Linked DNA regions of Saccharomyces cerevisiae S288C. The protein of the gene in region 1 interacts with the protein of each later gene in a pairwise test. Each region holds a gene or a part of one and is shown in the gene's direction. Other genes may lie near its edges.

The links.
Region 2: the proteins of TEF4 (region 1) and BUD27 interact in binary tests that used the Saccharomyces cerevisiae proteins (3 or more experiments, as listed by UniProt).

What each region holds. Positions count from the first base shown.
Region 1 is NC_001143.9:280,635-284,957, forward strand, and holds TEF4 (translation elongation factor EF1B gamma), read left to right. Parts: upstream 1-2,256; coding exon 2,257-2,461; intron 2,462-2,550; exon of another isoform or gene 2,551-2,645; intron 2,646-2,787; coding exon 2,788-3,821; downstream 3,822-4,323. Other genes in the region: HOT13 (Hot13p), read left to right, coding at 1-225; ribosome biosynthesis protein RRP14, read right to left, coding at 391-1,695. UniProt on the Saccharomyces cerevisiae protein: Subunit of the eukaryotic elongation factor 1 complex (eEF1). Probably plays a role in anchoring the complex to other cellular components.
Region 2 is NC_001138.5:88,979-94,183, forward strand, and holds BUD27 (prefoldin-like protein), read left to right. Parts: upstream 1-2,007; coding exon 2,008-4,398; downstream 4,399-5,205. Other genes in the region: EPL1 (Epl1p), read right to left, coding at 1-1,367; FRS2 (phenylalanine--tRNA ligase subunit alpha), read right to left, coding at 4,521-5,205. UniProt on the Saccharomyces cerevisiae protein: Involved in gene expression controlled by TOR kinase and nutrient signaling. May also be involved in positioning the proximal bud pole signal.

The sequences.
Region 1 (4,323 bases):
TGCCACCAAGAGTTAAGTTCTCACCCGCTAGAAAAATATGATCTCCTTGACGATGCAAATAAACACTTGATTATTTGCGGAGTTTGCCGTCATGAAATGACGTTTGCAGAGTATTACGACTACAATTCAAACCTTATTTGTCCCAATTGCAGATCCCCCTTTAATCCAGGCTGTAAATTGCACTACCATTTGTATTTCCAGAACCCTCCCCCCGCTATGTGTTGAGTGTTGTTCTATAAATGCATGCCATCTTAAGCTCTGCTGTGCTCTTCTCGTTAAGGAAAAAATGCGATGGTATATATATAGATATATATATATATATATGTATCTGTATATATATGTTCATACATATATATATATCTATTATTGTTGTTATTATTATCGTGATTATTATTTAGGTCCTCCCTTCTTTTTACCTGTTTTTAATCTACCCTCAAATCCGGCTCTTTTCTTTGGTACGGCACTACCGACATACTTTCTTTTCATCTTTTCTTGCTTATTTCTCTTTTTACCCTTGTTGTCTTTCCTAATCCTCAGATTCTCTTCTCTTCTCTTTTGTCTTTCAGATATCGTGTCTTCCACAACCCTCTTACGTTCGCTCCATTCAATCGCAGACTTTCTCTTTTGTGCTTCCTTTCTCTTTATAGCTTTGCGAAGTAGTTTTTCGTCATCCCTAATCTTAATTCCTTCTGCTTGTAACATAGCCTTTTGCCATTTTTCCTTTTCCTTCTGCTTGATTTGTTCTAGTTCGTCTTTCGCCTCCATCTTATTCTTCTTGGCTTCTAATAACTTTAAGTGTGATTTTACATCATTCTTAGCCGGACCCTTCGTTCTACCAGCTTTTCTTAACCTTTGTAAATCTGAAGTGGCCCTTGCACCATCATCGAATATGATATTTTGAAACATTACACCATCTGCGTTAATTTCTGAGTCCTTCTTGCCTTTTTTGAATCTTTTTTTCGAATTGTTTTCTAAATCACTATCGATGTCTTCCATATCGGAATCAGACGCAATTTCATCCTGATCCTGTTCCTGTTCACTTTCTAGACGCTTTCTTTTTTTCAACTCTTCCTTGCGTTTCCTTTGAGCAAGAATAGCCTCTCTAGAACCGGGTGCTTTCCTTTTACTCTTCATATCTGAAATTTTCGCTTGTAACTTGGAACGTAGTGCTTCCAAGTTTTTCTTTCTTTGTAGTTTCTCTTCCTCTGTAATAGACTTCTTTTCGACAGATCTATCGGGCTCTGTAGTATCTTTTTTAGATTCTAATGGTATTTCATTTCCCTCATCATCAAAGATCACCTTAATATCCTCTTCCTCTTCTTCATCTTCGTCTGGTGCTATTATCATAGGATCGTTTACTTCTACGTTCAGGTCGGAGTCTCCTTCCACTTTTGATGTTGCTTCCTTTTGCTTTTGCATTTTCATGTGCTTGAATTTTTCACCAGGTAGGACCACCGGCTTTGCGTCTTTCTCCTTCTTCTTCATTACTTCTAATGTACTAGATGTTTCATCATCACGTTGCTCCGGGTCTAATTTTTTCAGTTTATCATTTTTACTCTGTTCTTTGGTTTTCTTCTTGGCCTTCCATTGCTCTTGACTTTTTTCATCATAATAGTATTTTGCAGGAATTAAAGCCAATAAACCATCGAAGGCGCTTGAATTAGCACGAAGGCGCTCCTCAAGTGAATTACTCATCTCAGTCTCCTATATCTTTCAATTCCCGGACTTTCTTTATCACTTGCAACAACGTCTCAGTCCTCACTTGTTATTCATCTCTTGGTCATCTCATCTCTTTTATTGTACTTTCCTCTTTTCTTTACCGGAGATGAGAATAAAAAGAATTCATTTTAAAAAATTTTCAATTTGGTGTCTGGGTGAAACTTTTTAATCGTGTAATCCCAATTAAACCACTCTACTTTACTTTAATTGGTACACGAACTCATTACACACCTTTGCCTCTATTGCTTGTGTCAATCGTGTTGAGAGAGGAAGCCCAAAACAAGGGAAATTAACCTCTGTAGGCAAGCCATCACATTTGGCAATAGCAGCCCTCATTTAATTTAATTCGGCATGTGGCCGGCAGGGTAATGCGCTCTGCTGCTGACAAAATTGAAAGAAAAATTTTTTTCATCAACAGTTTGCAATACTTTCTTTTTCATATTTAATTCATCCATTCCGTCGTTAATTTTGTTCAAAACTGGTGTCCATCCTTAATACCAACTCAATTCTTTGATTTTGGCCCTCGATAGATTCAAGATGTCCCAAGGTACTTTATACATTAATAGATCTCCAAGAAACTACGCTTCTGAAGCTTTGATTTCTTACTTTAAACTAGATGTCAAGATCGTTGATCTAGAACAATCTAGCGAGTTTGCTTCTTTGTTCCCATTGAAGCAAGCCCCTGCATTTTTGGGTCCAAAGGGCTTAAAGCTAACTGAAGCTTTGGCTATCCAATTTTATTGTATGTTCCATATTTTATTTTAACACTTCCACATACATTGTTTTGCGCGTTTCCCGTTCGTTTATTTGGCACGTCATTTTTCTTCGAAACATAATGATGAAAAAAAATTTTATCAAACAGTTATCCCTGTCTGAATGGGTAATAATAGGTAACCTCTCATATGTTGATATTTGTATTTCTGATATGTTTCTTAAAGAAAAATGAAAGTCAAAATAACAAAAAGGAAGTACAAAGCGTGTCCTAATCCAGGAAAAAATATAAAGGATTGTTTTACTAACATTTCTTCAATTAATGGTTGTATAACCATCGAGATGATGTATATTTAGTGGCTAATCAAGTTGCCGATGAAAAAGAAAGAGCTCGCTTATTAGGTTCCGACGTTATCGAAAAGTCTCAAATCCTTAGATGGGCATCTCTAGCTAATTCCGATGTCATGAGCAACATTGCTCGTCCATTCCTTTCTTTCAAAGGTTTGATTCCATACAACAAGAAAGACGTTGATGCTTGTTTTGTTAAAATCGACAACCTAGCTGCTGTCTTCGATGCTAGATTGAGAGACTACACCTTTGTTGCTACCGAAAACATTTCTCTAGGTGACCTTCATGCCGCTGGTTCTTGGGCTTTTGGTTTGGCCACTATTTTGGGCCCTGAATGGAGAGCTAAGCATCCTCATTTGATGAGATGGTTCAACACTGTTGCTGCTTCTCCAATCGTGAAGACTCCATTTGCTGAAGTCAAATTGGCTGAAAAGGCTCTAACCTACACTCCACCAAAGAAGCAAAAGGCTGAAAAGCCAAAGGCCGAAAAGTCAAAGGCTGAAAAGAAGAAGGACGAAGCTAAGCCAGCAGATGATGCTGCTCCAGCTAAAAAGCCAAAGCACCCATTGGAAGCTTTAGGAAAGTCCACATTTGTCTTGGATGACTGGAAGAGAAAGTACTCCAACGACGACACCAGACCAGTTGCTTTGCCATGGTTCTGGGAACACTACAACCCTGAAGAATACTCCATCTGGAAGGTTGGTTACAAATACAACGACGAACTTACCTTGACTTTCATGTCCAACAACTTGGTCGGTGGTTTTTTCAACAGATTGTCCGCTTCTACTAAGTACATGTTCGGTTGTTTAGTTGTCTATGGTGAAAACAACAATAATGGTATTGTTGGTGCCGTTATGGTCAGAGGCCAAGATTTCGCTCCAGCCTTTGATGTCGCTCCAGACTGGGAATCTTACGAATACACCAAGTTGGACCCAACCAAGGAAGAAGACAAAGAATTTGTCAACAACATGTGGGCTTGGGATAAGCCTGTTGTTGTCAATGGCGAAGATAAGGAAATTGTTGACGGTAAGGTTTTGAAATAATCTCAATAACTCTTCTTCCATATTTTCTTCCCAATATACATAAGAGTCAAACAAAACGAATTTTCAAAAGAAAAAAGAAAAAAACCCTGAAGTCTACTTCATGATTACCCCATACTTACGCGTGGTTTAATTCTATGTAACGATTAACGTCCATGTAATCATTATATATATATATATTGTAATAATCTCTCTAATTGAGTATCACAATCTGCTGCGGTTACTCTAACAATATTTTGCATAAACTTGATTCTTCTCTTCTTATTTCATGTTTCAGTGGGGCATTTTCCATTGTACTTTTGCAACAATAGCGAAAAAAACAATTTTCCGTAAAGAGAAGCGTCAGTCATAAACGGTGTATGTTACCCGAACTGGAATGAATTTTATCTTAAGACTGGAAAACAATTTAGGATAGAACTGAAGATAGTGCAACACGTCTGGTGATATCATGTGCTTTCAAGCAGGATTTGTCACAGTGCTTTAGAAACACAAACAAAGGAGGTAT
Region 2 (5,205 bases), on another chromosome or scaffold:
TGTTGCTGTAACAGTTGCTGCTGTTGCTGCTTGGTGAGCCTAGAAGATTTGTCTTCAAGTTGGTTATTCCTTTTATTGTTCTTTGCCTTCGCTGCCGCTGCTGCAGCAGCTGCTCTCTTAAGTTCAGCTTTCCTTAGTTCAGCTTCCCTTTGTTCGACCGTAACAATCGTGGGGCGTTTTCTCTTGTGGTTAATCAAGTCATCGTCTTCTCCACTAATGTTCAAAGATCTTTTCAAATTCTTAATTTTTACCCTTTGATCGAATATTTTTAATTCATCATTAATCCAATTTAGGGAAACGTTCTCACGTTTAGCAACAAGCAGGGCCAAGTCCTTCGCGTTTTTCAATTCTTGATGCAACGCCCTTAAACGCTGACTGTTTAAGATATCTATACGTCTTGTTTTCCGCGGATGTCTCACTTCTCTTCTTCTGAAACAGACGTAGGGATCAATCTCTTCTTTTTCACCCGGCCTTTCAAATTTCAGCTGCGGAAAAATTTCGTACCCGTTAACTTCAATTTTTCTTTCTCTCCAATAATCATAAATTTTAGAGCCGAACTTCTCTATCAGCTGAATTAAAGGTCTCGTATTCATTTGAGATACGGGGTCGAATTGTGTGATAAAATGTGTTTTATGAGAATTTATTTCATGATTCAGCTGGTTTCTTAGATTGAAATCAGCCATATCTGATTTTATTAATGTGGGCTTCAATTCTTCAAAAGAAAGTATACTTTCCGGATCCATACTCAAGAATGGTTGACGCTCGTGAATAGCATGTTCAAAACTGGAACAAAGTATTTCAAATTCGTCTTCAGTTAAAATGTCTGATGAACCTTTGTTGACTTGTTCATTTAAAAAGGTCTCATCTCTTTCATCCATATTGTAGTTGGTACCACAGCAATCCTCCACAGTGGCAGAAAATTTGATGTAGCTGGTGGTCTCCTGGAAACTGCCCGTATAAAACTTATCATATTCATTCCAAGTCATAGAAGCATCCGGGGTCGGAATATAGTCTTTGTGCTTTGTATGACCAGAACCCATTTGTAATATTCGATGCAAATGGACCTCCTTTTCTTCATTTTTTTCTACACCAGTTTCGATCTCAACCACCTCTCTCTGTTGCAATTCATCTTTATCCAGGTGTTTCAGATCGTTAGGCAGATATATCTTAAGATGTTGCTTCACAGATATTTTTCGATGTCTAAATCGACTATTACTGCTACCAGCACTGGCTCCAGCACCTGAATCGCCTTTTGAGAATGAATCTAGACCGTCATCGTGCGCACTCCTAGATCCAGACCGCCTAGTGCTTCTACCAGATTTATGCGAACCGTCATTGATCTCTATAGCGTTTGAAGGTGTCGGCATCGTTATTATCGTTATTTGCTAATGTTATTACAATGTTTTTATAAGCACGTGACTATAATGTTACCCTATCGTGTGCAATTTTTATTTATGTTGACCTGAAGTCCGCAGTTGCCGTACAATGTGAGAATATGGACAAAAGGAAGGCGAGGGTGGCAAAAAGAGGAGTCAAAAATAGATAGCGTTTATTTTATTATAGCAGCTCAGAGGAACGCGATGTGGTGTAATAATATTGCGAGTGTCTAATGACCACCAGAATACGAGCACAGTTTTGGCTGATTTTTGCAAACTTTTTTGCTTTTGTGTAGTAACCTCTCACAGGTATTGCTTGTATGCTATACCATGTGATATGTAATAGTACAATTTTGTGGTCGGATCGTGCTTTTGCCACCCGCGGCCGACGGAGAAAATTTTTTTCCTCTATCCCTTTGTTTCTCGCTTACTCCTGCGGTATGGGGTGCTAACTATGGTGAGCGAGTATGGGAAGAAGTAGCGATATACGGGTAACCCTAATGTTTGGGTGTTTTGAAATTTATCCTTGGAGGATAGGCGATGAGCTGCTCTTAAAGGTTTTAACAGAGAGTGTTGTATGAATATTCTGTAGAATTTTATAGTAAACAGGTATCCTCAGACTGTAATAGCCATGGATTTGTTAGCGGCCAGCGTAGAAAGTACGTTGAAAAATCTGCAAGATAAGAGAAACTTTCTTTCGGAACAAAGAGAGCACTATATAGATATCAGAAGCCGACTGGTTAGATTTATCAATGACAATGATGATGGCGAAGAAGAAGGCGAAGGCCAAGGGATGGTGTTTGGTGATATCATAATTTCTACGAGTAAGATATATCTAAGTCTAGGCTATGAGTATTACGTTGAAAAGACCAAAGAGGAGGCCATCACGTTTGTTGATGATAAATTAAAACTAATGGAGGACGCCATTGAGCAATTTAACCTGAAGATCGAAGAGGCTAAAAAGACCTTAGACAACTTGAATCACATGGAGGACGGAAATGGAATTGAAGAAGACGAAGCGAACAACGACGAAGATTTTCTGCCCTCTATGGAGATTAGAGAAGAACTAGATGACGAGGGAAATGTCATAAGTAGTTCCGTTACCCCTACAACAAAGCAACCATCACAATCGAATTCCAAAAAAGAACAGACACCTGCAGTCGGTCCAAAGGAGAAAGGATTAGCAAAGGAGAAGAAATCAAAGTCATTCGAAGAAAACTTGAAAGGAAAGTTATTGAAAAGGAACGATGAAGTAAAGAAAAAAGTGCAGCCATCTAAAGTAGATACAGAAAACGTGTATACATTTGCCGACTTGGTCCAACAGATGGACCAACAAGATGAATTGGAGGACGGCTATATTGAAACTGATGAAATAAATTATGATTATGATGCGTTCGAAAACTCCAATTTCAAAGTCAATGATAACTATGAAGAGGATGACGAGGACGAAGATGAAGAAGAGTATCTAAATCATTCTATTATACCTGGCTTTGAAGCGCAGTCCTCATTTTTACAACAAATTCAACGCCTACGCGCACAAAAGCAATCCCAAGATCATGAGAGGGAAGAAGGTGACGTTAATAAATCATTAAAACCTATTTTGAAAAAGTCTTCTTTTGCTGAGAATTCAGACAAAAAGCAGAAAAAGAAACAAGTCGGGTTTGCATCTTCTCTAGAAATTCACGAAGTCGAAAACTTGAAAGAAGAGAACAAGAGGCAGATGCAATCCTTTGCGGTGCCCATGTATGAAACCCAGGAAAGCACAGGTATCGCTAATAAAATGACATCGGATGAGTTTGATGGTGATTTATTTGCTAAGATGTTGGGTGTCCAAGAGGCCGATGAAGTGCATGAAAAATATAAAGAGGAACTGATAAATCAAGAGAGACTTGAAGGGGAAGCAAGCAGGTCGAATAGAAGAACTAGGGTGTCCAGATTCCGGAAGGATAGAGCTTCTAAAAAAGAAAATACGTTATCAACTTTCAAACAGGAAACGACAAGGTCAGTGGAGAACGAGGTAGTGGAAAAAGAGCCTGTTGTGGGGGATATTATAGAAAAAGAACCTGTTGTGGGGGATGTTATAGAAAAAGAACCTGTTGTGGGGGATGTTATAGAAAAAGAGCCTGCTGTCACCGATATAGTGGAAAGGGAGCCTGCTGTCAACGATATAGTGGAAAGGAAGCCTGTTGTGGGGGATATTATAGAAAAAGAACCTACTATCAACGATATAGTGGAAAAAGAACCGGAAATTAACAGCAAGAGCGAGTTTGAGACTCCTTTTAAAAAGAAAAAGCTAAAATCACTGCAAAAACCAAGATCATCGAAATCAATGAAAAAAAAATTTGATCCCAAAATTCTCGAAAATATAAGTGATGACGATTATGATGATGATGACGATGGTAATAAGAAACTTTTGTCCAACAAAAGTAAAAATAACACTGATGAGCAAGATAAATTTCCTTCAAAAATCCAAGAGGTGTCTAGGTCGATGGCTAAGACGGGCGCCACAGTAGGGAGTGAGCCGGTTAGAATTACAAATGTCGATTATCACGCCCTAGGTGGAAACTTGGATGATATGGTCAAGGCATATTCATTGGGGTTATATGACGACGATTTAGAGGAAGATCCAGGAACCATAGTGGAAAAGCTCGAGGATTTCAAAGAATACAATAAGCAGGTGGAGTTGCTGCGTGACGAAATTCGAGACTTTCAACTAGAAAACAAGCCAGTGACGATGGAGGAGGAGGAAAATGATGGCAATGTTATGAATGATATCATTGAGCATGAATTTCCTGAAAGTTACACAAATGACGAGGACGAAGTAGCACTACATCCGGGCCGGCTACAGGAAGAGGTTGCTATAGAGTACAGACGGTTGAAAGAAGCTACCGCGTCGAAATGGCAATCATCATCACCCGCCGCACACACTGAAGGCGAATTGGAGCCTATTGATAAGTTCGGGAACCCGGTCAAGACAAGTCGTTTCCGCTCTCAACGGCTCCATATGGACAGTAAACCATAACCCATATGGAGACAGAAAGTAAATCAGAATCTATATTAACATATACGTATATATTTGTTTTGTGTACAATAACTACTACAAAATTGGGGACAGACGATATAAAACTAGAGGAACTGCTGAGCTTATTCGTACAAGTCTTCGTCCAATCTAGCAGCAGGATTGGTTTCGATAAAGTCCAAAGAGACTTTATGACCTAACAGTTCTCTGATGTTTTGAACCTTATATTTGATCATGGTAGGTCTTTCCAAGGATAACCCCCAACCAAGGACTCTTAGATCCTTTGGTAGACCCATGGACTCGAGCATTTCTGGTCTGAACATACCAGAGTTACCGATTTCGACCCATTTTTGCAAACCTTCGTGCCAAGAAAAGATTTCCATTGATGGCTCGGTGTAAGGATTGTAGGTAGGCTTGAATCTCAAACCGGTGACACCCATTCTTTCGAAAAACTCTTCCATGAACTTGATCAGGTCACCCAGAGTAATGTTGTAGTCGGCAAGAACACCTTCCACCTGGTGGAATTCGGCCAAATGGGTGGCGTCAACTGCTTCGTTACGGAAAACACGGTCGATAGAAAACAATCTGGTGGGCTTTGGATCTTTGGCCAAATCGTGCAGCATTCTGGCAGAGATGGCTGTGGAGTGAGTTCTCAAGACCAATTTTTGACATTCTTCTGGCTTCCAGTTGTAACGATAACCGATGGACCCGAATCTCCCCTGTTCGTGAACGGCTTTGATATTGTCCATGTATGTCTTGTCATCGGGCAAGTCAGCGGTTAGTGGGTCCTTGATGTAGAAAGTGTCTTGC